Linked DNA regions of Pelodiscus sinensis. The protein of the gene in region 1 purifies or fractionates together with the protein of each later gene. This does not show direct contact. Links are inferred from orthologs where the notes say so. Each region holds a gene or a part of one and is shown on either strand. Other genes may lie near its edges.

Region 1 (3,744 bases):
CAAGGAATTTGCCTCATCACTCAGGTACCCACCTTCCTTGGAATGCAAACCCAAGAGGATCTACCCTCTCTCAATGTGGCATGCAGAGCCTCTTACCAATTTCACAAACTGCGTTTCACAAGAAATAAAATCAAGTTTACTGACTAGAAAGGGTAGATTTTAGAGTGAATGTAAAGGACAGCACACAGAACAAAGATTACTGAGCAAGTAAAATATACAGACTCGATGCACTAAAGACACAGGCTACAAATAGTACTGTCTCACCCTAAATGTTATCTTGGGCAGATTGCAAAGATTCTTGAAAGTCAGTTACAGTAGCCTGCAGCTTAAAACTTCAAGTATTACTACTCAAAGAAAGTCACCCTTCTAGCCTGGGCTCAACTTGTTGCACCTCAGTTCAGTCCTTGTTTCCAGATGTGTCTGGGAGGCAGAGAACTACAATGTCATTCTCCTGCCTCATAGCTTTTGTATATGCCATTACATCTGCCAATGTAAATACTGTGTTTGACCCCAATAGCTGTAGGTCAGGGATGAGCAACTATTTTTTGCTAGGGGCTACTTAAAACATTTTGTAAGTGGCCTCAGGCTACTCCAGAAGGGGCGGGGCTTCCAACTGAAGGGGCAGGGCCAGGATGTTTCTGGGCTTCCCCACCCTCAGACCATGATTGGCCTGGGGGTGGGGGAGCCCGGAGGCACCCATGCCCCTGGCACTGGGAGGAGTCTTCCCGCGGAGGCTCTTTTGCCCACCCCTGCGGTTGGTGCATGTATACAGATGGGCTCTGTCTACACGGGCAGTTTCTTGTGCAAGAACAACTGTTCGTGCGCAAAACCTTGTCTGCTGTCTGCACTGCGCACGTGTTCTTGTGCAGGTAAATTCACAGCACAGCGTCGGAAAACAGCTTCTTCCGGACGAGTTACTCCTGTCCCCTCGAGGGACGAGCCCTCTTGCGCAAGAGGCCGGTGTCCACAGGCAACGGCAGAAGCCCTGTGGCTAAAACGGCCATGGGAGCTCCCTGCGCAAGAGCGCCCAGCTGCCAGGGATGCGCTTGTGCGAAAGCGCCCGCCGGTGCAGAGCGGCCTGGAGCTCGCGCAGCGATCGCCCCGCAGGGACATCACGGCCGCTCCCCCCCGCCCCTCGGGGCCGCCTGCGCGTGCGGGAGAGCGGGGCCTCGCCAAGGGGGCCGGGCCGGGGGGGGGGGCGGGGGGCCGGGGGAGCCGGGGGGGGGGGGCCGGGCGGAGGGAGCCGGGGGGGCGCCGGGGGGGGCCGAGCCGAGCGGGGGGGGGGGGCCGGGCCGGGGGAGCTGGGGGGGCCGAGCCGGGCCGGGGGGGGCGCTCACCTCCAGCTCCTTCCGGGTGCTCTCGAACTCCTCGATGTCGTCCAGCTTCAGCTCCAGGCGCGTGGGCTTCCGGCGCAGCATCGCGGGGGGGCGGAGGGGTCAGCGAGGCGCGACCAGGGCGGAGGGGGGGAGCGCGCCGATCAGCTCCCGCGCCCCGCGCCGGCCCCTCCCGTCAGGCCCCGCGCACCTTCCGGAACGCCGGCCTGCCCCCGGAAGCACAAGCGTCCCGCTCCTCCCCGGGACCCGGAAGCGGAAGTGACGCCTGGCCCGGGGCTCTCGCCCCTCCGGACTGACATGGCTTCCTCGCGGCCTCCCGCCCTGCGCGGCGCCCCGGGGCGGGCGGCGCCTTCTCCCCAGCCGGGCCCGGCTCCCTCCCCGCGGGTAGGGCCCGCTCGGCCTCCTCTGCCGCTTCCGCCGCGCAGCAGCCCCCCCCGCCCCCTCCGCACCGGGCGGCCCTGGCCTTTGTGGCGGCTTCTCTCTTAAGAAAAGGAGCCGCCGCCGCCTGCTCTGCGAGCCCCGCGCTTACCTCGCCCGGCCCGCTTCCTGCCAGGGCTCGCTCCGAATGTCCAGTGCCTGGGGGTTACTTGAGCCTTGAGCGCAAGGGCTACTCGGGACCCTTTCAGGCCTCTGGGTACGCGCTGCTTGGCAGCCCTCCTGGGCACATGCCCGGCACAGTCCATTCAGACCCATCTGTAGGACTAACTTTTTCAAATACCGTCTTGAGTTTTGTTCCACCAAAGGATTGAGAGCCACACGCCAACTGGGGGAAATGTCAAATAATTGGGACCATTGAGGGCACTCTCATTGCAGAAACAAAAAAGCATGTATATGTGCAGTTATGCCAGAGGTATTATGAGATCATTGGAAATGGATTCTTTATTTAGGGAATAGAATGTTATAATGTGGTAACTAGTTGATTTGACTTTTGTGTGTATTTTGGAAAAATTGGGGAGTAAAGTGAGGCAGTCAGGGTGTCAGTGAGGTGGATAATAGAGGGGAAGGAATTTGCTGAATCCTTCATGTTCATAGTTACATTTCCCAGTAGTCTGAGATCTTTGTTTTTGAAGGTCTTAATTATTTGTAAGGAGTGTAATTTTGTTACACATAGTAGCTGGACTCTATTGAAAACATTGTCTGCCTTAATCGTGATCTGCAAATTGGTTTGTGTTCTTTATGCACTACAGGCAGTCCCCGGGTTACGTACAAGATAGGGACTGTAGGTTTGTTCTTAAGTTGAATCTGTATGTAAGTCGGAACTGGCGTCAGCCGCTGCTGAAACTGATCAGTTTAAACCGCGGCTGAATCTGGACGCCAGTTCTGACTTACATACAGATTCATCTTAAGAAACCCAGGCGTCCCCAAGTCAGCTGCTGCTGAAACTGATCAGCGGCTGATTCCAGGAAGCCTGGGGCAGAGCAACTCTGCCTCGGGCTTCCTGTAGTCAGCCTCTGGTCAGTTTCAGCAGCGGCTGACTTGGGGATGCCTGAGGCAGAGCAGCTGGGGTGCTGCTGGGTTGCTCCAGTAGCGCGGCTCCTCAGCGCTACTGGAGCAACCCAGCAGCACCCCAGCTGCTCTGCCCCAGGCATCCTGATTCAGCCGCTGCTGAAACTGACCAGCAGCAGCTGAATCAGGACGCCTGGGGCAGAGCAGCTGGGCTGCTGCCGGGTTGGTCCGGAGCGGCGCTGCGGGACCAACCCGGCAGCCCCCAGCTGCTCTACCCCAGGGGTAGGCAAGAAAAGCCTGGTCTGCTGGGGGGGGGGCACTAGCTGCACCTCCCCCACCCCTCCAGCAGACCAGTAAGACGGGGGTGGCTGGACCACCCAAGTCCTCCACGGCTTTGCTCCATCTCCCTGGCCTGCTGACTTGGGAGACGCGGAGCAAAGCTGCAGAGCACGCGAGCAGCGGGACAGTCCAGGCGCGCCGCGGCTGTCCCACTGCGGGCGTGCTCCGAGGCTTTGCTCCCCATCTCCCTGGTCTGCTGGTCAGGAGACGGGGAGCAAAGCCGCGGAGCACGCCCGCAGGGGGACAGCTCAAGTGTCCCGCTGCGGGTGTGCTCTAAGGCTTTGCTCCCCGTCTCCCTGCAGACCAGGGAGACAGGGAGCAGCTTTTCTCGCCCCAAAGGACGGGGGCGGCGGACCGCGGCGCATCTGGGTGTCCTGTCCTCCGGGGCGAGAAAAGCCCCGTTCGTAACTGCGGATCCGACATAAGTCGGATCCGCGTAACTCGGGGACTGCCTGTAGTCCAATGGATAAAGAATGATTAAAAAGGATGGATTTTTAAAGTTTGTTTTTTCTGCTTGTTTTTTTACATGAGAAATTAAGGATGTATCTAAGTTAGAAGGCTCCCTGATGGAGAACTTGTGAAATTATGCAATTGTACTGTCATAATTATGACATAAGATCAGAGA
Region 2 (3,744 bases), on another chromosome or scaffold:
CGTCACTGTACTTCAATTCATTTCCCCCATCATCCTCTCCATCTTGTTCTGGAGAGGCCATGTCTTTAGTACACAACTGCTTGTCCTCACCACCAAGTTCAGCAATAGCTTCCTTAAAAGCATCATACTCATCATCATTGCAGGACCTGCCAGAATTACTGTCCTGTTTTAGGGAACCTGCTGGAGAAATGGAGGGTCCATCGGTGTCTAAATTGGCCAGCAGTTTGCTCTTTTTCACTGACACCAGGCTGGATTCAGTCAGTTCTATCAATTGCTTCAAATCTTCCTGCAATTGGATCAAGTCAGATTGCTGTGATGGATCGAGCCCTGCCCCTAAAGCCAGCTCTACTTGTTGCAACTGGGCTTTATAGGTTTGAATTGCTGCTTCCAGACTCTCTTCATCCATTGTTATTGCAAAGAGCTGTTTCGCTGATTCCTGTCTGGGAACTTGGTAAATACTCAAGTATTTACTGGACAGAAATGTGAAATATGGAGTCTCTGTCCAAACTAGCTGTCAATCTCTGCAGTAGTCTTGTGTTCTTCCCTTTGCTGCAACCAGATGAAAAACACTGCAGGGAACAAATATTATAAAGCTTCATTAGAGAAAGCAGTCACAAGGATAGCCATCCTAATTGAATAGATATCTGTAATGCAAACAGCTACCACCGTATATCATTATACACACATGGCTCGTGTCATGTACATTCAACCTGCCCCGTTGATATCGCACTTGAAAAACTGTTAAGCTTTTAACTTACCTCAGAATTCAACCATGATTAACTAGGACATGCGAATAACATCAGCCTTACTTTTCTGTCCCTTTAAACTTGCAGTCCCATGACACAACACTACCACTCCCTACCTCCTCTTTAATTATAACTAGTAACAAGTGGGGTCCCCAAGGGTCTGTCCTGGGACCAATCCTATTCAACTTACAGGCAGTCCCCGGGTTACGTACAAGATAGGGACTGTAGGTTTGTTCTTAAGTTGAATTTGTATGTAAGTCGGAACTGGTACATATTGTAGAGGAAACTCTAGCCAAACATTTCTCCAGAGCTCAGTTTTATTCTCCCACACCTCACTTCCCTCAGTCCTTTATTCTCAAGCTGAGGTGTCTGCTGAGAAAAGCCGCTCCGCATCTCCCTGGTCTGCTGGGGAGGGGGGGGGGCGCGCTAGCTTCGCGTCTCCCTGGTCTGCTGGGAGGAAGCAGCTAGTGCGGGGTTGCCTCACCCCGTTTGTAAGTAGGGATCCGATGTAAGTCGGATCCATGTAACCTGGGGACTGCCTGTATTTATAAATGATTTAGAGAAAGGGGTAAACAGTGAGGTGGCAAAATTTGCAGATGATACCAAACTGCTCAGGATAGTTAAGACCAAAGCAGACTGTGAAGAGCTTCAAAAAGATCTCACCAAACTGAGTGATTGGGCAACAAAATGGCAAATTAAATATAACGTTGATAAATGTAAAGTAATGCACATTGGAAAAAATAATCCCAACTACACATACGATATGATGGGAACTAATTTAGCTACAACTACTCAGGAGAGAGATCTTGGAGTCATTGTGGATAGTTTTCTGAAAACATCCACTCAGTGTACAGCAGCAGACAAAAAAGCAAATAGAATGTTAGGAATCATTTAAAAAGGGTTAGAAAATAAGACAGAAAATATCTTATTGCCTCTATATAAAATCATGGTACGCCCACATCTTGAATACTATATACAGATGTGGTCGCCTCATCTGAAAAAAGATATATTGGCATTGGAAAAGGTAAAGAAAAGGGCAAGAAAAATGATGAGGGGTTTGGAACGGGTCCCATCTGAAGAGAGATTAAAAAGACAGACTTTTCAGTTTAGAAAATAGGAAACTAAAGGGAGATATGATAGAGGTCTATAAAATCATGACAGGTGTGGAAAATGTGAACAAGGAAAAGTTATTTACTTGCTCCCCAAATATAAGAACTAAGGGTCACCAAGTGAAATTAATAGGCAGCAGGTTTAAAACAAATAAAAGGACGTTTTTCTTCACTCATTGCACAGTCAAGCTGTGGAACTCCTTGCTAGAGGATGTGGTGAAAGCTAGGACTTTAACAGGGTTGAAAAAAGAGTTAGATAAATTCATGGCAGTTAGGTCCACCAGTGGCTATTAGCCAGGATGGGTAGGAATGGTGTCCCCAGCCTCTGTTTGTCTGGAAATAGGTGACAGGGGAGGGATCACATGAGGATTCCCTGTTGTGATCCCTCCCTCTGGGGCACCTGGAATTGGCCACTGTGGGCAGGACACTGGGCTGGATGGACCAGTCTGGTTGTTCTTACATCTTTCTGCTCACGTTGCCTCCCACGCAGGCGGCATTAAACCTGCTGTGAAAGTGGAGGCAAAGACCCCTGGGCTGCGCCCAACCCGCACCTTTCCTCTGCCCCCCCCCGCTCTGCAGGATCCAGGGGCTGCCCCCTTTGCCGCCCCCTGCCTCACATTCAATGGGGCAGAGGGAAGCTGAAAATCCCTCATGAGGGGGGGGTCAAGAGTCCCCATGGAGGGGGCCCAGCACCTCCCCAGCCATAGCAACCGGGGGGGGGGAGAATAACTCCCAACCGCCTCACGTGATCTAACCCCTCCCCAGCCAAGGCGACCCCTCCCCCCATGTGAGACACAGCAGCTCCCCCAGCGGCGGGGGGAGGGGCTACTCCCCTCAGTCGCCATGGAGACCCCAGGGGAACGGTTACCTCCATTGCCCCCGCGGCCCCTCCCTTACCTCAGGCCGCCCGCTCCCGCTAAGCCAGCGCAGCCGCCATGACTCTCTCCATTGCCATGGCTTCCGCCTCCCGGAACAGGCCACACCATAGACACCACCCGGCTTCCGGCTAGAGTCGACTTCCGGCTCCGTCGCCATCTTGGGCGGGCCAGTCCTCCAGCTCCTCCTCCAATGGTGTTTCCGGCGGGCTGAAGCGAGGACGCCTCCCGCGGCTGGGCGCGCTGAGCATTCTGGGAGCGGTGGTCCAAGAGGCCTTCCCCTTCCGAGTCCCTGGCGCCGGAGGAACTACGCTTCCCAGGGTGCCCCGCGGGCACGGGGCGGAGACAGCTGCCCACCCAGTGGGGGGTAGGAGGCGGCCGCGGGGGGAGGGGGGAGCCGATTCGAGCTGCAGCGGGAGTCGCGGGGCGGCTGAGTGGCAGGAGCCGTCGAGACCCGTCACCCAGGTAGGGGGCGGGGCCATCACTGTCCCCCAGCTCCGCGGGTGGGCGGAGCCTGCAGCCCCCCCAGTCACCGGCTCGCCGGGCTCCCCCTGCCCGCGGGGGGGCCCCCCGGCCTGGGCCGAGCGGGAGGGGGCGTGTCTGGGCCTGGCCCCCGCTGTGCAGCCCGGGGGGCGGGGAGAGGTGGGGCCGGAGCTGGGGGTCCGAGGTGGGTCTATGGGGCGGGCCCCAGCCGTGGGGCCGGAGCTGGGGGTCCGAGGTGGGTCTATGGGGCGGGCCCCAGCGGTGCGGCCGGAGCTGGGGGTCCGAGGTGGGTCTATGGGCGGGCCCCAGCGGTGGGGCCGGAGCTGGGGGTCCGAGGTGGGTCTATGGGGCGGGCCCCAGCGGTGCGGCCGGAGCTGGGGGTCCGAGGTGGGTCTATGGGGCGGGCCCCACCTGTGCAGCCGGAGCTGGGGGTCCGAGGTGGGTCTATGGGGCGGGCCCCAGCCGTGGGGCCGGAGCTGGGGGTCCGAGGTGGGTCTATGGGGCGGGCCCCAGCCGTGGGGCCGGAGCTGG
Region 3 (3,744 bases), on another chromosome or scaffold:
GAGCTTGCACTGGTGCTCTAGGCACCCCACCCCCTACTGTTCCCCCTGTGGGGTTGGAGCACACAAAATCTACTAGCTTGCCCCTTCAATCTCTGGTGTGCAAGGAGAATGTGGGGAGCGGCTTTCTCCTTTCCAGTCAGGGGCCATATCAATGAGGTTTTTTTGGGTGTTATTTCCCCCAATCCAAAAAAGGTTCCACACCTCTGGGCTAGCAGATCAGCTGGCTACTGCATTTCCTCACACACCACCCCATTTGCTGCCACTGGCACTTAGTTCATCCAAGAGTGGGCTCTGGACATCACACAATGTCAAGGCTTTACAGAGCAAGAGGCACCAGCACATTCTTAGGTTAACTGAGGCAAGGACGTGAACCAAATTAACCAAGGTCACAGGCATCTCCACTCCCTCTTGTGCTTGTGTGGAGGAGGACAAGTGTTTTGACTAAGGGGACACAATGCAGCATCCTCTCACCCAAGGGGCTTTACGGAGGGAAGCTGCACTGAGCCTTTTAACTGGTATCCCCCTTTGTCCCCAGGTAGCACCATCTTGTCAGTTACATAGAACTCCTAAGCATGAGGAATAGTGGCCACCTACACACACACCCCCTCCAGCAAGATGGAGTGTCTCATTTATCTCCCCAAAACAGACCCTATTATCAGCCAGAGAAACCATTCCAGAAGGATCCAGTTCCCTTATCCAAAAACAACCCCCCATACTACCAGCCTTTTCCCATCTAAGCCACTGGCCAGCCTAGGAGATGAGCTATCTACCTATAGGATGGGAGACAACCCCTCCTCTCCCCCATCTCAGATTGTCAGGGGCATGTCTTGCACCACCGTATAAACATGGGCAGTTGGGTGAATCCCCACCTCTCACTGAAAGCAACCAGGTAGGTGGCTGCTACAGCCCGGAAGGATTTTCTCCTGGCAGCCCCTTTCCCACCCAGGCCAGGCCTCTTACCCGGACAAAGATCACGTTGTCAGGGAAGTCAGCAGCTGCCCCGTCCTGGGGCACCCGGGGGGCAGCAATGGGTCCCCTGCTAGCTGTCAGTGAGGCAGGGAAGCAGCTTCTTCTCCTCTTGGGGCCAGCTCCCTCTGCCCCCTCCTCTTCCTCCTGCCGTTGCTGGATCTCTTCGGACAGGTAGTGGCGAATGTTCTGGCGGGCCGAGTGTATCAGGGCTCCATCAATGTCCAGGCCCACCACCCGGGCAGGTTTCCACTTCTTGGCAATGCTGAGGGTGAGGTGCCCTACGTTGCAGCCCAAGTCCAGCACCTCTTTGCCCTGGAACCATTCAGGCTTCATGACCCGCAGCCGGCCATCCTCACAGTTGGGGTTACGGTAGCCATAGTATTTGCAGTAGTTGCCATACTGGAATTTTCTGTGTTGTCTCCTTCGCTTGGACATGGGTGCCTGTTGTCTCCCAGCGCCTTTCCCCTTTTCTGGGCTACTCTTCCCTGCCTGGCCCCCACCTTTGCTGGCCACCAGTGTGTGGGGAGGCAGCGTCTGCTTGGCACCCCCAGCTGCCTCCGATTTGCTGCAAGTCCTGCGCCGCTTGCGGTGGCGGCTGCTGCCAGAGGAACAGGAGGGGGTGACACAGCCCACTCCTGGCTGCTGCTCTGCAGCGAGGGGGAGCAGTGGAGAGACCACCTCATCTCTACAGTTGATGGCCGTGTTAAGTTCATAGGGCTGTGGGGTGGGACAGGCCCCATTGGCCCCACATGACTTGCAGGTTGCCTGCTTGCAGTCCCCACCACCACCACCACCACCACCACCACCCCCCCGCTGCTGCCCCCGATGACGGTGGCGCTTTCGGCCCGACTTGAAGGGTGCAGCCAGCACAAGGGCTGCATCGCTATCCTGGGCATTGAGACTCAGTGGGTCCGTAATGTCCTTGGGGATGAGGATTTCCACTGGATCGCGGCCCTTGGCAGGCAGCGGCGATGACTTGGGGGTCTCTGCATTGAGGGCCTGGTTCACTTCCTCATCCAGGAGACTGTTGAGATTCAGGGGGTCGAAGATGTTGCCCCCCAGCAGGAACTCAGAGGGCAGAACCGGGTCGCACTCGGAGTTGACCCGACGGCGACGCTTGGAGGCCGGGTGCTTGAAGCCTCCACCGCCCACGTTGCAGCTGTTCCTCCTTTTGCCCCCACCCCCGGGCGGCCGGTGGGCCTGGAAGCCATTGCGAGGCCGGGGCAGCTCGCCCACGCTATCTTCCTCCTTGGGACCGGCCCTCGGGTGTAGCTCGACCCGGGCGCTCTCCTGGTGCGACCGCGGCAGGGGGCCGCTTCCGCCCCTGCACTGGCCCAATGGGGCGGCCCCTTGGTGAGACTCCGAGGAGGCCTCCTCGTGCAGCTGCATGAGGGGGCCGTCTCCGCGGCTCACTCCTTCCCCGCGCCCGCCCGGGACCGCCTCTTGGTGCGGCCGCACGACGGCTCCGCCCCTTTCGCCGCGCGGATTGGCCGGGGCAGCCTCCTGGCGTAACTCCACCGAGGCAAGCTCCTGGTGCAGCTGCCCCAGGGGGCCGCCCGCTCCGGCCGGGGCCTTGAGGGGCGGTGGCGGAGTCGGGACCAGGAAGGTCTCCTTGTCAGCCGCCATCTCGATCATCTCCTGCATCGGGGCGAGCGGCTTGAGCTCCGCCGCCGCCTCCCTCCTCCAAGTGGCTCCGCTCAACGGCCCGCCTCTGACGGGCGCCGCCTGCGCATGTGCCCTTCTCGCCCGTCCCGCTCACAGCGCAGCCGCCGTTGCGTTCGGCCTTCGCCCCCCGCGCAGGGCCCCAAGGCGCATGCGCTCGGCCGCCTGCCCCGCCCCTGCTAGCGCATGCGCGGCCCACCCGCCCGCGCGAAGCTCGATAGAATACAGCAGCGTCTCACGTCTCCCACCTCCGACGCGATGGGAAGTCGGCCCCCCCCGCCCGGGGTTGATATACCCGGAGGGCGGGACAGCTTAACGCTCCACCCCCTCCGTCGAAAGTCGGCCAATGCGGACGCACTGTTTTCCGTGCCCACGTGGAACGTTGGCCAATAAGTTCGAAGGACATCCCCCCTTTGCTAACGTCGCCCCTGCGCGCGAAAAGCCCCTCCTCTTCTTCCTTCCACCCGTCCCCGGGCCCCGACATCAGCCAATGAGAGATCGGAACGAAAGCTGTGGAGGCCAATCGGAAACCTTTGCAATGGGCCCCTGGGCGGCACGGGGAGGCCTTCGACCCCAGAGCTGTCTATGCAAAGCGCCTGTTGCGGAGGGAGTTGCCCCATGTAAATGGTTATTAAAATGGCCAAGCGGGTCTTTTGGGGACAAGAACAGGGTAACAAAGAGTTCCCCAGGGCGCGTAGAAATGAATTGAATCTGGTGCCGGTTCAGGCACTGAAGTAGACACCTAAGCGGCGCACTGAGTCCGTCGGGGTGAACCCGACCACCTATTCACCCGGTGGCGGGTATACGCCACCGGCGAGAATGAGAAGCCCCTTCCCGTGTGAGCGGCGCATTCAAAACGGGTTCGTGTGGGGGGGGTTCACCTCCCCATGAAGCCCCCCCAGGCAAAAGGCAGTTAACAGTGGTCACGTGTCCTCCTCTTCGGACATGCTGGGAGTGGTAGTTTCCCCCTAGCACGGTGTCGGACTCCGCGCCTGCGCAGAACTAATTGCCCGCCTAGCTCTTCCCTCCCCCCCATTATAGAAACATAAAAGGGGGTGGACAGGAGGGTAGTTCCCATCCGACCTGAACTTTCACCCCATTTGTGGGCCATGA

Evidence for each region.
Region 2: the proteins of PRPF4 (region 1) and ZGPAT purify together in Homo sapiens (affinity purification with mass spectrometry; 4 studies listed by BioGRID and IntAct, counting the BioPlex papers as one, with this or other methods). This does not show direct contact. The link is inferred for Pelodiscus sinensis from reciprocal best matches to the Homo sapiens genes PRPF4 and ZGPAT.
Region 3: the proteins of PRPF4 (region 1) and MEPCE purify together in Homo sapiens (affinity purification with mass spectrometry; 4 studies listed by BioGRID and IntAct, with this or other methods). This does not show direct contact. The link is inferred for Pelodiscus sinensis from reciprocal best matches to the Homo sapiens genes PRPF4 and MEPCE.

Annotation. Positions count from the first base shown.
Region 1 is NC_134732.1:1,351,077-1,354,820, forward strand, and holds the start of PRPF4 (U4/U6 small nuclear ribonucleoprotein Prp4), read left to right. Parts: upstream 1-1,586; 5' UTR 1,587-1,631; coding exon 1,632-1,718; intron 1,719-1,915; exon of another isoform or gene 1,916-2,175; coding exon of another isoform or gene 2,176-2,184; intron 2,185-3,744. Other genes in the region: anaphase-promoting complex subunit CDC26, read right to left, coding at 1,338-1,418. UniProt on the Homo sapiens protein: Plays a role in pre-mRNA splicing as component of the U4/U6-U5 tri-snRNP complex that is involved in spliceosome assembly, and as component of the precatalytic spliceosome (spliceosome B complex).
Region 2 is NC_134728.1:3,548,042-3,551,785, reverse strand, and holds the start of ZGPAT (zinc finger CCCH-type with G patch domain-containing protein), read right to left. Parts: upstream 2,977-3,744; 5' UTR 2,753-2,976; intron 570-2,752; 5' UTR 407-569; coding exon 1-406. UniProt on the Homo sapiens protein: Transcription repressor that specifically binds the 5'-GGAG[GA]A[GA]A-3' consensus sequence. Represses transcription by recruiting the chromatin multiprotein complex NuRD to target promoters.
Region 3 is NC_134734.1:8,771,799-8,775,542, forward strand, and holds the start of MEPCE (7SK snRNA methylphosphate capping enzyme), read right to left. Parts: upstream 2,910-3,744; 5' UTR 2,614-2,909; coding exon 961-2,613; intron 1-960. UniProt on the Homo sapiens protein: S-adenosyl-L-methionine-dependent methyltransferase that adds a methylphosphate cap at the 5'-end of 7SK snRNA (7SK RNA), leading to stabilize it.